3 linked regions of the Arabidopsis thaliana genome follow. The protein of the gene in region 1 interacts with the protein of each later gene in a pairwise test. Each region holds a gene or a part of one and is shown on either strand. Other genes may lie near its edges.

Region 1 (3,762 bases):
GTCTACTCAGGAAGTCAGTGGAGGTTTGAGTAACTGTTAGAAGAACCCTAAGCACTTTACTCTCCCCATTTTGCAAATAACAAGAAATCTAGAAAAAACATGAATCCATATTTGAATGAAGAAGATCTTTACCAGACATAACGAATTGTTCATATTACATTGCCTTAAATTTGCTGCATGGTCTGCCAATGGATCCCTAAGTGCCAGAAATAAATGTCGGATATGATTCACAAAATTCACATCTTCATTAACCTGCTCCAAACAAATACAAAATAAGACCAGATATGTATATATGTGCCATCTATTATAAGTGTGCAGGTGTTCTTCCTGGCTATTATTTTGTAACTGCGAACACCGCATCCAATTTTAAGATCTTACTTACTTTACACAAAGAGCCTAGCTGAACAACTCCACATGGACCAACAGCTACTACAAGAATGGTCTGCGGAGAAGGAAGAATAGATATTTTAAAAAGGAAAGTCTCCAGTGGCAAACTTTGAGGATGTTCTTGACAAGTATGTATAATAAAGCAGACAGAAAGAGCACTAAAGAAAAATCCAAATACCTTAATTCCAGCAGAAATTTGACTTTCCCAAACGTTATGAAACTGTAATTAAAAAAAGACATTTGGTTTAAAAACACGAAGAAAACAAATTTAATTTCAGATAGAAAGTCCCTAACCTCAAATGCTGAGTTACAGTTGTTATAATTTTCGGGAAATACCCATTGGTGTTCTCCAGAAACTGCAACTTGTCCTACAATCCTGTTTATATAGATATGATAACATAATTCAACAATAGACCCAAGATTGTTAACTATTGTAAAAGCTAACATCAAGCTCAAGGACACAACAAAAGCTTTGCATTATGTGGCTACTGTCAAATAAAAAAAGAAGGAAAAAGGGCACATCAAACTATAGGCATGATAAGAGTGAATCAGAGCAATATATTCTTACCCTTCCCCTAGAGAATAGACATGATAAGACATCTTTGCCACAGCTAACCCAAGGGGGTCATGTGCTCCATGCATATTCGTCCCATGATGGTCATAGTAAGCATCCTCCAAGGTAAGTACCCTACAGGTGTTCATTATTCAAAAAATTGAGAAACTATCTGGTCAACTAAAACACTAAAACATATAAAGAAATAGAATCCTGAACTGCACACAAAACTTAAAAGTACAGAAACAATCTTCAGACACTTAAACTACAATTGTTAACTTAAAGCTGCTGCATTTCGATATAAGGTTCCATATTTCCACTCTAGCAAGTTGAAGTCAATACACCTAAATCAATTACCACAGTTCTAACTCGTAGACAATTATAATGATCCACCACGCAAAGACAGTAAAGAGAATTGTTTAGATGACTCACATTCGAGATCCTCGATGATTAAGTTGCCAGAACACAGCATAGTCCCAGTCCGTGTTAAAGCAAAAGCTCTTCAGTATCTCTTGAGAAGTAGAACCCATTCTAAAGGGTAAACCTCAAAACCCCGGACTCAAAAACCACAAATCAGAACTCTAAACAGTTGTTTTATACTATCTCCTCCCCAACCTCTAATAAAAAAAAAAAGAAGCTTCTTTTGATTCGTTTTCGATGAGATACAAAGTAACTAACTACCTCTGTAAGAACCTCTTCCAGCTTGTTCCCTTCGTAAACCAGCTCTTGGTTTTATGGGCGGACCTACTTCATCTTGTGATATTTGCCTCTTACCCATCCCTCCCAAAGATACAAACTTTGAATCGGATTACGAATAAAAACCCAAGAAGGAAACTAATTTAGCCCTAGCTCAAACAAAAAACACCGAGAGAATCAGAATTTGAAACAGAGATAGATCTGCTGCAACTGCTACTCGCCATGGGAGAAATCAATATTGAAAATTCAAAAGCTAGAGAAGAAGAAAGAAGACAGTAGAAAAGGAAGCAGAGAGAGACAGAGAGATTGTAAGAAAGAATCGAGTTTAGCTTATGTCAGAAGATATTGATTAACTACAACAGTTGATCTCTGCATCACTCAGAGACACTAACAATCTCAGCCCAGAAATTCGCCGGAAAAAGGAAAGAACAGAGATAGAGATAGAGAGAGAGAGAGGGTAAAGGAGGCAGAGGTAAGCTAAAAGACGTTCCTTTTTAAAAGGGTGAAGGAGAAATCGAGCAAGTAAGCGGGTGAATCACGCACCATGCTCATTTTAGCAACGAAAGGCCAAGGATCGGTGTGCGCATGTTAACTATTCGAGTTAGTGGGATGGTGAGTGTGTGTGTGTTTGAGGGTATGGGATTTTATGGAGATAGGATCTCTCTCTCTTATAGAGTAATGGCCAGCAAAATGATTCACCAACTGAACTTTGCTTCCTTCTTTACTTTTTTTTTTACCCATTACTCACAAATTTATAAAATATTTTACACATTGCACTAATTTATCGTGTGTTTAATTACAAATTCATCACATTAACATCACAATCTTTTTTGTATTTCCCGCGGAAATTGTGCGCTAAACATTGTATACTCGGCTCGTTTACCGAAGTTGTAGGAAGTCTACTATGAATTGTATATCCCATGGGAGAAGAGAGTGATGAGGCTAGAGCTGCGGAATTAGTGGTAGGATTCTTAAAGGCAAGAGTTTGTGAGTCGAACCCAATTGTCTTTCTTGATAAGTTTGTATCATATATTTTATCTACAGAGTAGATAATTCGAATCTCGTATATGTATAAAGAGGTTAACCGTCTAGCAAAAATATTAGTGAACTATGTATATACTTTACTTTAAGGTGTCTATTTGTTTGATTTGACTCATACGTTGGTGGATAAGATTGTAAAAAAAAATGTTTGAGGAATTGCGTTTTCGAGGCTCATTCGTCTATAGTTTAATTTTTTTTTTATTTTGAATAAATTTTGAAGAGACAATTGTTTTTCCCATATACTATTAAAATATAATACTTTTGTAATAAAAAACCTATGATATTTAAAATGTTGTACATGTTTTATTACAACTTCCATAATAATTTTCCTTCTAATTCATAAGATAAAATATTCCGAAAATTTAGCAAGTGTCCCTCGTAGTCGTAGTGACAATCCTACTATATTATTTGGGAAGTACATTTTAAATATAACCTTAATTTTTGTAAGTAATTACATAGGTATGCCATTAGAAATAAAATTTTAAAAAGTAAATTAATTTATCTCTTTAAGGATTAAAAAGTCAAATACTAATTTAATTAATTAAATTAATTAAAAAACGAAATACAATATTAATTTCCAAAAATAATAGCCAATCAAAATCAACATATAAGATTTGATATCTAAATTTAATTAATTTAATTTAATTAGAAAAACGAAATAGATTATTAATTTCTAAAAAAGTAACCAATTAAAATCAACAAACTATATTTGGTATCTAAATTATCATATTAATTTTTTATTAATTATTATAGTTCACTTCTCATCTTTATATGATTCTATTTATACGGAAAAATAATATCATCATTATAAAAAAATAATTAGAGTTTTTTCGCATATGCCATAATTTGAATTTTTAAAAACAAATATAAACTGTTCAATACATGAAATAATATTATAACGGGTGAAAAATAGATTTAAGAAAACTTTCTACTGAGTAAGGGGACATAAATTTGAAATATTCATATTCAATTTCATACATATTATATTGAAAATTTATAATCTTATATATTACAATAGTTAATAACATATTAGATGTGATTCAATTTTTAATATAAGCTGAAAAATCCTAGAATTGACGGGTTTA
Region 2 (3,750 bases), on another chromosome or scaffold:
TACGCATGTTTAAACTTCATATACCTGTTTTCTAAACCTTCAAATATTTTAGGGAATTTTATACAGATATATATATATATATATATGTAAAATTATTGTAGGTAATTAAATACTAAATTTTATAGCAAACTAGTGTAAATGTTATCTTTATTATCAAATATAATGCACGATGGGTCTGTTTTCAAAAACATTTGTTGGATTTTTTATTTTTTTTAATATGTGAGAAGCTAATAAATATAGATTTTGTTTCATTCTGTAGTTTGTAATTTGTAACAATGTATAGTGGTATAATGGTTGAGATATTATTTTTTATGTGAGTCTGGTAGGTTTGAGTCATCCTATTACGTTTTCATGCAAAATTGATAATCATGTACGCTTTAAATGATAGTATTAATCAACTTTTCTATCTATTTCGAAGATAAGTCTAAATTAACTTTGAAATTAATTAACCTCTTGGGTGCCATATATACTTATATAGTATATCCATTTGTATAACGCATTAACACACATACAAATGGACACACTTACAATATAATATAAAAGGATTTAAATTAAATAATTACTCGAAATCTTATTTATTATAATTTTTAAGCTTAATGGAATTGCATGCATGACGTTAAACCAAAAAAGGGTCAAAATATGAACCCTAACTAGATAGGATTGTAAATAATATATAAGAAACATAAAATAGATATATAATTATGCAACACCCTGATGGATCAACCTCCCAACGAGATTTTAAGCTTATATATATAAAGCACAACTAATCAATTTATATCTTAATTATCCATTAATCAAGCTCCTAATAACTGCGGCTTGTGGGCTATTAGGATCAATGGATTCCAGAAGCTGAGTCAATCGATCACTGAGGTCATCGGCTTCCTTGTTCAAGTTTCTTATGTAGTTGCAAGTCTCTTGTAACACTTTCGACGCTGATACCTACAAACAATTTTCACAATTGTACATTTTATAGTAAGGATTCAATATAAATATTCAAACAAGTCTTAGCTTGCTTTAACAACAACAGAAACAAGTCTTAGCTTGAAGTTATGATGCGTGTTAATAATGTAAGAAAATATATTGACGCTAGTTGCTTGACATACTACACTATGCATAGGTTAAAAGTTAAACCTAAAGCTTAAGATAAAATGCCCATACTTTATCAAAAAAATAAAAATGCTCATAACTTAACCAACACATTGTTTTGAAATTGAGAACAAATCTGATTGGTTGTGTGTACTATAAGAAAACGATGCTTCCATTTATAGAAACCAGCTTTTTCTTATTTTTCTAGAGTTCGTACTTTTCTTGTTATATAGAAACTAAGAAAACCAAATATAAAAATTAGTCGGTGCTGTACATAAATGTATTGAATTGATGGTCCGTGAAGCAATATAGTCGTCTCACATTCAATGTAGTTAATCAATAATAAAAGTAAAATTAACTAGAAGCTTAATGCTGAAGTTAGGGAAAATATGTTCCCCTCTCCTCAAAGTCCGGTTAATGGTCAAAAGTAATTTTAGAAACTTCAAAATGCAGTCTCCCACACGTACTTCTATGACTATAATGCACTATTCTAACATGTTGTATACTTGTATATGCGTGATTCTCTATTAAACATAATAGCTAACCCTAAATAAATATCATCAAAGTAAAACTTATGTGACTATGCCAAAACCTTGGTACATAGAAGAAACACAGTAACTTTTGAAAAGATTTACCGTGTTGGAACGACGGTTCTGGCGAATCTCCGGAATGGACTGTCGGAGCTTTGAGATGAGATCAGTGATCTGGTCATCGCTAATTCTTGATGATGAGCTTGCTTGTCTCGACCTTCTGCTAGAAGACATGTTTGATTTGAAAAAATATTCTTATATATATGTGAATCCAAGAAAAGGCTTTCTTCTCTTGATGGCTTTGTTTGTGCTTGTCGAAAGAAAGGGAGAAGAAAGAAGGAGAAGAAATGGTGTTATATAGAGAGCTAGGACCACTTCTAGATAGAGAGAGAGAGAGAGAGCGAGAGTAATACAAATAATCTTAAATAGGGGTGTTGGATATGCCGATGACAAGTGCACAAGAGAGAACAGTGGTTTAGAATTGGAGTCTTGGATACATGACACGTGAATTTACAAATTTATCAGATCGTGATGTATATATGTGTCTAATATTACTATTATTTGATGATTAATTTAAAGTTGATTTATAAAAAACTAGAGAAAAAGATACATAAGACAAAAAAAAAGTCTGTCTAACTTTTATCTATTTACTTTAAAAAAAGACAGCATATTTATCAACAATAAATACACCGAAGATAGATATATATCTTCTATTTTCTTATATTCAGAAAAAAAAAAACCATCTTCTTCTCTTTTGAAAATTACATTAATCCAAAGTCTCCAACAAAATCTTGCTTTTCCTAAAAAGTTTCAAAAACTTTAGTAGAACTTAGTATCTATTACTGGAAATCTTTTTGCAATAATTTGTATTATGTACATTTAAAATCTTCTTATTATATTATTATATGAGTATTATAAGTATTGTCGATATTATAATGCTATTATATTTTTAATATTGTAGTATTTCAATGATGTAAATCTTTTCAAAGATTTATTTTTTGTTAATTAGTAACATTATAATATCTGTTATTTTTCGTCAATTAGGAATTCGCAAATGAATATCTAGATTGACAGAAAATACCAAACAATACTTTCACTTGGATACATTGATAATTTATCTCAAAACTTATAATTATTCTAGTCATTAAAATCTTTATATATATTGAGGTGAGACTTTGTGATAATCAGCTATAGTAGTTACAGTTCCTTAATAGCATGTCCTAGCTTTGCTTGAGCCTTGAGGTACGGTGAGAGTTTGTGAGAATGTATCATTATTTTTTAAGACCAAACGACAACTATCCAAAAGCTCGACTAATATGTCTTGTTAGATATGCTATGATCAAAGAGAAACTAATTTTTCAAGTGGGAAACGATTCTGATTTCAAGTACTGAAACAATGCAACATTAAAATATCACCACTCTATTTATCTTATTATACAAGCTAGTGTAAAGCTTGTCTATATACTCAAGATATACCTATATGAGTATATCATTATTTTATGATCGTTGTGATGCGTAAAACCAAGAAGATTTTGTGGTTCAGTTATATAGATACGGGTAAACAAAAACAATGGACTTAGGTCAATTTGAGGGAACGTACGGTATCTATCCTAGCCAATAGGGAGGGGCTAGTCTTACACTTTTAGTCCAAGCTCGATCACGTGTACCTCAATTGATAGTGTATATGCTTACGATATTTATTTATATGTAATGCCTAAGTGGAATTTCATCAATTGTCGAACCCAATATCTTTGAGCACTTGTTCTAAAAAACTTAGACAGGTGATTTCCAACTAACATTCGTCAATATGTAATTTTGTACAAATACTTTAATTTTAATTGTATCAGTGAGTTTCAATTTTTATTTAGGATTTATATAAATACTACATGGTAATGTTGTTTTGGTCATAAATAACAACAAACCATTTGCTAGATCTAAACACGTGATGATGATGATGAAGATGATGATATATGCAAAAGATATGAATGAATGATGATTAGTAGATGTATGATATGTATTAGAAAACAAGGAGATGGTGTGATAAATTGGACATTAAAGAAAAATGTTTGCTGATGAGCACACAAAGGTGGGACTATTTATGTTTTAATATTTTGAAGTTATAAATAAGAACCAG
Region 3 (3,762 bases), on another chromosome or scaffold:
CTGATACAGTACATGATTATATTTAACTTTCAGGCGCAAGAATTTCTCTGTTCAAAGAAAAGGTATGTAACCTTATATCCCAATACATTTTACTTTTAACACGTAATCATAAATTATCTACTCCATTAATAACACCACACTAATACCGTAATTATCGAGTCAATACGTGTTATAATATACACGACGAAGATAACACATTAATGATCACATGCAAGAGGATTTAAATAAAATGGCACGACCATACCATATACTACAGATAACATTAAAAAACAGATAATCCAAACTAAACGACTTCGAAAACATCGAGGTCTTCGTCTGTTTCTATCATATTTTAAACAATTTAAATTCAGACACAACTTCTCCACGTTTTTAAATTGTATATACATACCATTTTATTTTTTTTGATAAAATTGTATTGACATACTTCCAAGTATAACTTATTTATTTGGCATACACATATATTGTTCTTAATTTCTTCAACTAAGAAATTTCGAGCATACACCGATAATCTCCTCAGCTTGTTAATTATAGAAAAAGATATGATAAACGAAACTTATAACAGTAGATCAGTATAGTAAAAAAGGAAACGGACCGTGTCATTAATCATAAATATTAGAGGATCTCATGATACACAGGCTACTATACGCCAGGTCTGGACCCTCAGATACAATTAACATGCATACATACATACATAACCATATATTAAATATAAATATATGAGTTGGCCTAACAATGACCCGAAACCCTAGCTATATCTCATAATATATGATGTAGAAGTAAACAGACGATACCCATAATAAGATAAATTTGGTGGCCGGAAACGGATGATTAATAGCTCTCAGATTAAGTAATGCGGATTTAATAATTAAGCAAGCTCCTAATGATGGCTGCTTCGGCGCTGTTGTCGTCCGTCGAAGCCAAGAGTTCCGACAAACGGTCACTGAGGTCATCAACCTCTCTGTGTAAGTTCCTGATGTAGTTGCAAGTCTCTTGTAGTACCTTAGATGCTGACACCTGTCCAATAGTTTAAACATTTTACAATTAGTTTTAAAGTACAAAAAACGATCATTATATCCCTTACAAAGAGTACGTGACAACATGTGCTACTGCCTTTTTTCTTTCTTTGTAACAATTTCATATATATCTTCAAACTTTTAACAGAACTTTAGTTTTTTCTCATGATTGCCACTTCAATGTGCACAACGGTATAAACGGCCACAATTTATTTATCATATTCCTCAGCTATATATAGAATTATGGTGAGTATATAGGTAGAGAAGAGTAATGGGGAGACATGTAGTTAAGGTACGTGGAAGTAGGAAGGGAACAAACTGAGTCCCACACCACCAACTTGTAAAATTTAATTGCAAAAAAACATTCAAAGAACAAACAAGATATATGCATAAATGAGGCTGTGAATTAATGTTACTTTATCTACGTATAGTTAATTGTAGGCCACATGTCTACACGCCGTTGGATTTCACCATGCATATTAATTAGTTATTATATACTATATGGTTCCTATTCATTTGAACTTTCTAAGTCCATGTGCAGGCTAAGTTATACAAGTATACAAAATAAGTATGTATATGCAAGAAAGATAGATTAAAATTTGTTATTTTGAAGTGTATACCTTGTCAGAACGGCGGCGGCGAAGTTCAGGGATGAGGTGTTGGAGCTTAGAAACAAGATCGGAAATCTGATCGTCAGAGATTCTTGAGCTTCCTGACTGTCTTGAACGTGATGATCTTCTGCTAGACATCTTCTTTCTTGATATATTATAAGTGTGTTTGTTTGGGTGTAGAGAGAGAGAAGAATGCAAGAAGGATAAGTAGTTAATGTGTCAGAAAGAGAGAATGAGAGTGGAGAAGAAGGTGTTGAAGAGGGAGGAGCAAAGTGGATGTGTTTTTATAATGCAAATTTATGAAGAGAGAGAAGATCAAGAAGAAGAAGAAGAAGAATAAGAAGGAGAAGAGACAAGTGCATGGAGGGAGGGTGTGGGTTATGTTTCTTTAATAAGGGTGTCTTTAGCTTTCAAATATTTATTATTATTTGTTCTCAGTTTTTTTCATAGTCGCTTAGTACAAAAAGATACTGTTTATTTTTGGTAAGCTTCTAAACTTACTTTCCCACGAGAACAACTTCTTGATTGTTATATGTGTAAAACTCACCCACGTCAAGTTTTTTTCCTTGCTCTCTTTCTCTTATTCCTGTTCCACTTAACCTTCTTTCTTTCGAGCTATTCACATGGTGTAGTATCAACTTCAAGTCTTCAACTTAACGACCTTTATTGAAAATTTAAAGGCTACATGTTAATTTCCTTTAATTTTTCTCAATATTGAACATGACTAAACAATAGATGGATAAGAGTTGATGGAGTTTACAAATGTAAGTCCGTATAATGTGCAGAGTCTATATCAGACGACTAGTCTTATTGTATGTCTATTTTAAAAAAATTCTATTTAATAATTTATCTTATTATATATGTTTTGTGATAATGTATTCTTTTGTTTTTATGAATGAATGTAAAATTTGTTCAACAAAAAACGTTTGTATAATGAATGTGACATGGAGAATTCAAATTTTGAAACTAAATAGAAAGGGTATCAAATAACTAAGATCCAGTGCTAAACCAATAGTGATACTTTACCAAAGAGTGTTTGTATCGTCTCATACGAGTCGTATGATACGACGATTAGAACCTATCTTAAGGGATATTGTAGAGGTTTTCAGTGACTAGTGATGGGACCAAAAAAAATATATATAATAAAAAATACAACTATGCTTAAGTCAAGTCACTCGGTTCGATTTTGGCTAAACCCAAAAAAAAATCCAAACACGTATAACAATGGATTGATCCGCACTCTCTGAAATCAAAACCAAATCAAAGTCAGTCCACAAAGCTACAGAGCTTTCCAAAATCGGGCCAAGTAGAATTAATTCATTGCAACATTTTTGGCTCAACGCATCCAAGTAGAAAAAAACAAAGAATTAAAATAAGAATTGGGAAAGGGACGTAGAAAAGGAGGGGAGGGCCATGGAAAGGAGAAGAGGGATCAAGTGGGGTTTAAAATGGCAAAATGTGTGTTTATCGCCAAACTAAACTGTCCCTCTTTGCCTTCTCTCTCTGTCAGTACCACCATTGCATCCCCACGTTATATGTATTACTTCATTGTCCCTTTTTTTAATCACTTCTCTCTTTTTTACCATTTTTTTTGTATCTTTCAAACTTTTACATTGATTTTTTTTGGAAATTCAATGGTTTTGGAACATGTATAAGTTTGTTCTTCACACATCCATGTTTGACCTTTGATGTAATGTAACATCCAAATATTTTTGAAAATAATATGATTGTTATCCTATACATGATCGTGAAAAGAAAAAAAATCACTGTCATTTATAAGATTAATTATTATTTTTCTTTAGTGTGGTGGTCTATATCATGAAAAGAGTGTAGGACATATGGTACAAGAAAACACCAAAAAATGTTGAAGCCAAATTACGGATCATGTTTTGGATGTAATTACAGTTGACAACTCTGATTTTTTTAATACCTTCCATAAAAATCTGATTTTGAGTACGTAGCATGTGGTAGATGCAGAGATAGGCATTTGATTGTCGATTGGATTCAGTTCGTTGATTTTGCATTGCATTTATTATGTGGTAGATGTTTGCTTTAACTCGGATTTGATCTATTAATCTTCTTTCTTTGTTTTCGTTGTCAACAAGATATAGGTCTTGATCTATATATATGTGTGTATT

Evidence for each region.
Region 2: the proteins of CPUORF7 (region 1) and BNQ2 interact in a two-hybrid assay, tested with the Arabidopsis thaliana proteins (one large-scale study listed by BioGRID).
Region 3: the proteins of CPUORF7 (region 1) and KDR interact in a two-hybrid assay, tested with the Arabidopsis thaliana proteins (one large-scale study listed by BioGRID).

Annotation. Positions count from the first base shown.
Region 1 is NC_003071.7:13,337,386-13,341,147, reverse strand, and holds the start of CPUORF7 (transcription factor bHLH155-like protein), read right to left. Parts: upstream 2,062-3,762; 5' UTR 1,719-2,061; coding exon of another isoform or gene 1,622-1,718; 5' UTR 1,471-1,621; coding exon 1,373-1,470; intron 1,076-1,372; coding exon 956-1,075; intron 764-955; coding exon 682-763; intron 608-681; coding exon 566-607; intron 443-565; coding exon 383-442; intron 253-382; coding exon 133-252; intron 1-132. UniProt on the Arabidopsis thaliana protein: Transcription factor that may regulate root development.
Region 2 is NC_003076.8:4,920,704-4,924,453, forward strand, and holds BNQ2 (BANQUO 2), read right to left. Parts: upstream 2,110-3,750; 5' UTR 1,851-2,109; coding exon 1,722-1,850; intron 940-1,721; coding exon 784-939; 3' UTR 540-783; downstream 1-539.
Region 3 is NC_003070.9:9,349,571-9,353,332, reverse strand, and holds KDR (basic helix-loop-helix (bHLH) DNA-binding superfamily protein), read right to left. Parts: upstream 2,174-3,762; 5' UTR 1,763-2,173; coding exon 1,634-1,762; intron 1,015-1,633; coding exon 859-1,014; 3' UTR 500-858; downstream 1-499. UniProt on the Arabidopsis thaliana protein: Atypical and probable non DNA-binding bHLH transcription factor that regulates light-mediated responses in day light conditions by binding and inhibiting the activity of the bHLH transcription factor HFR1, a critical regulator of light signaling and shade avoidance.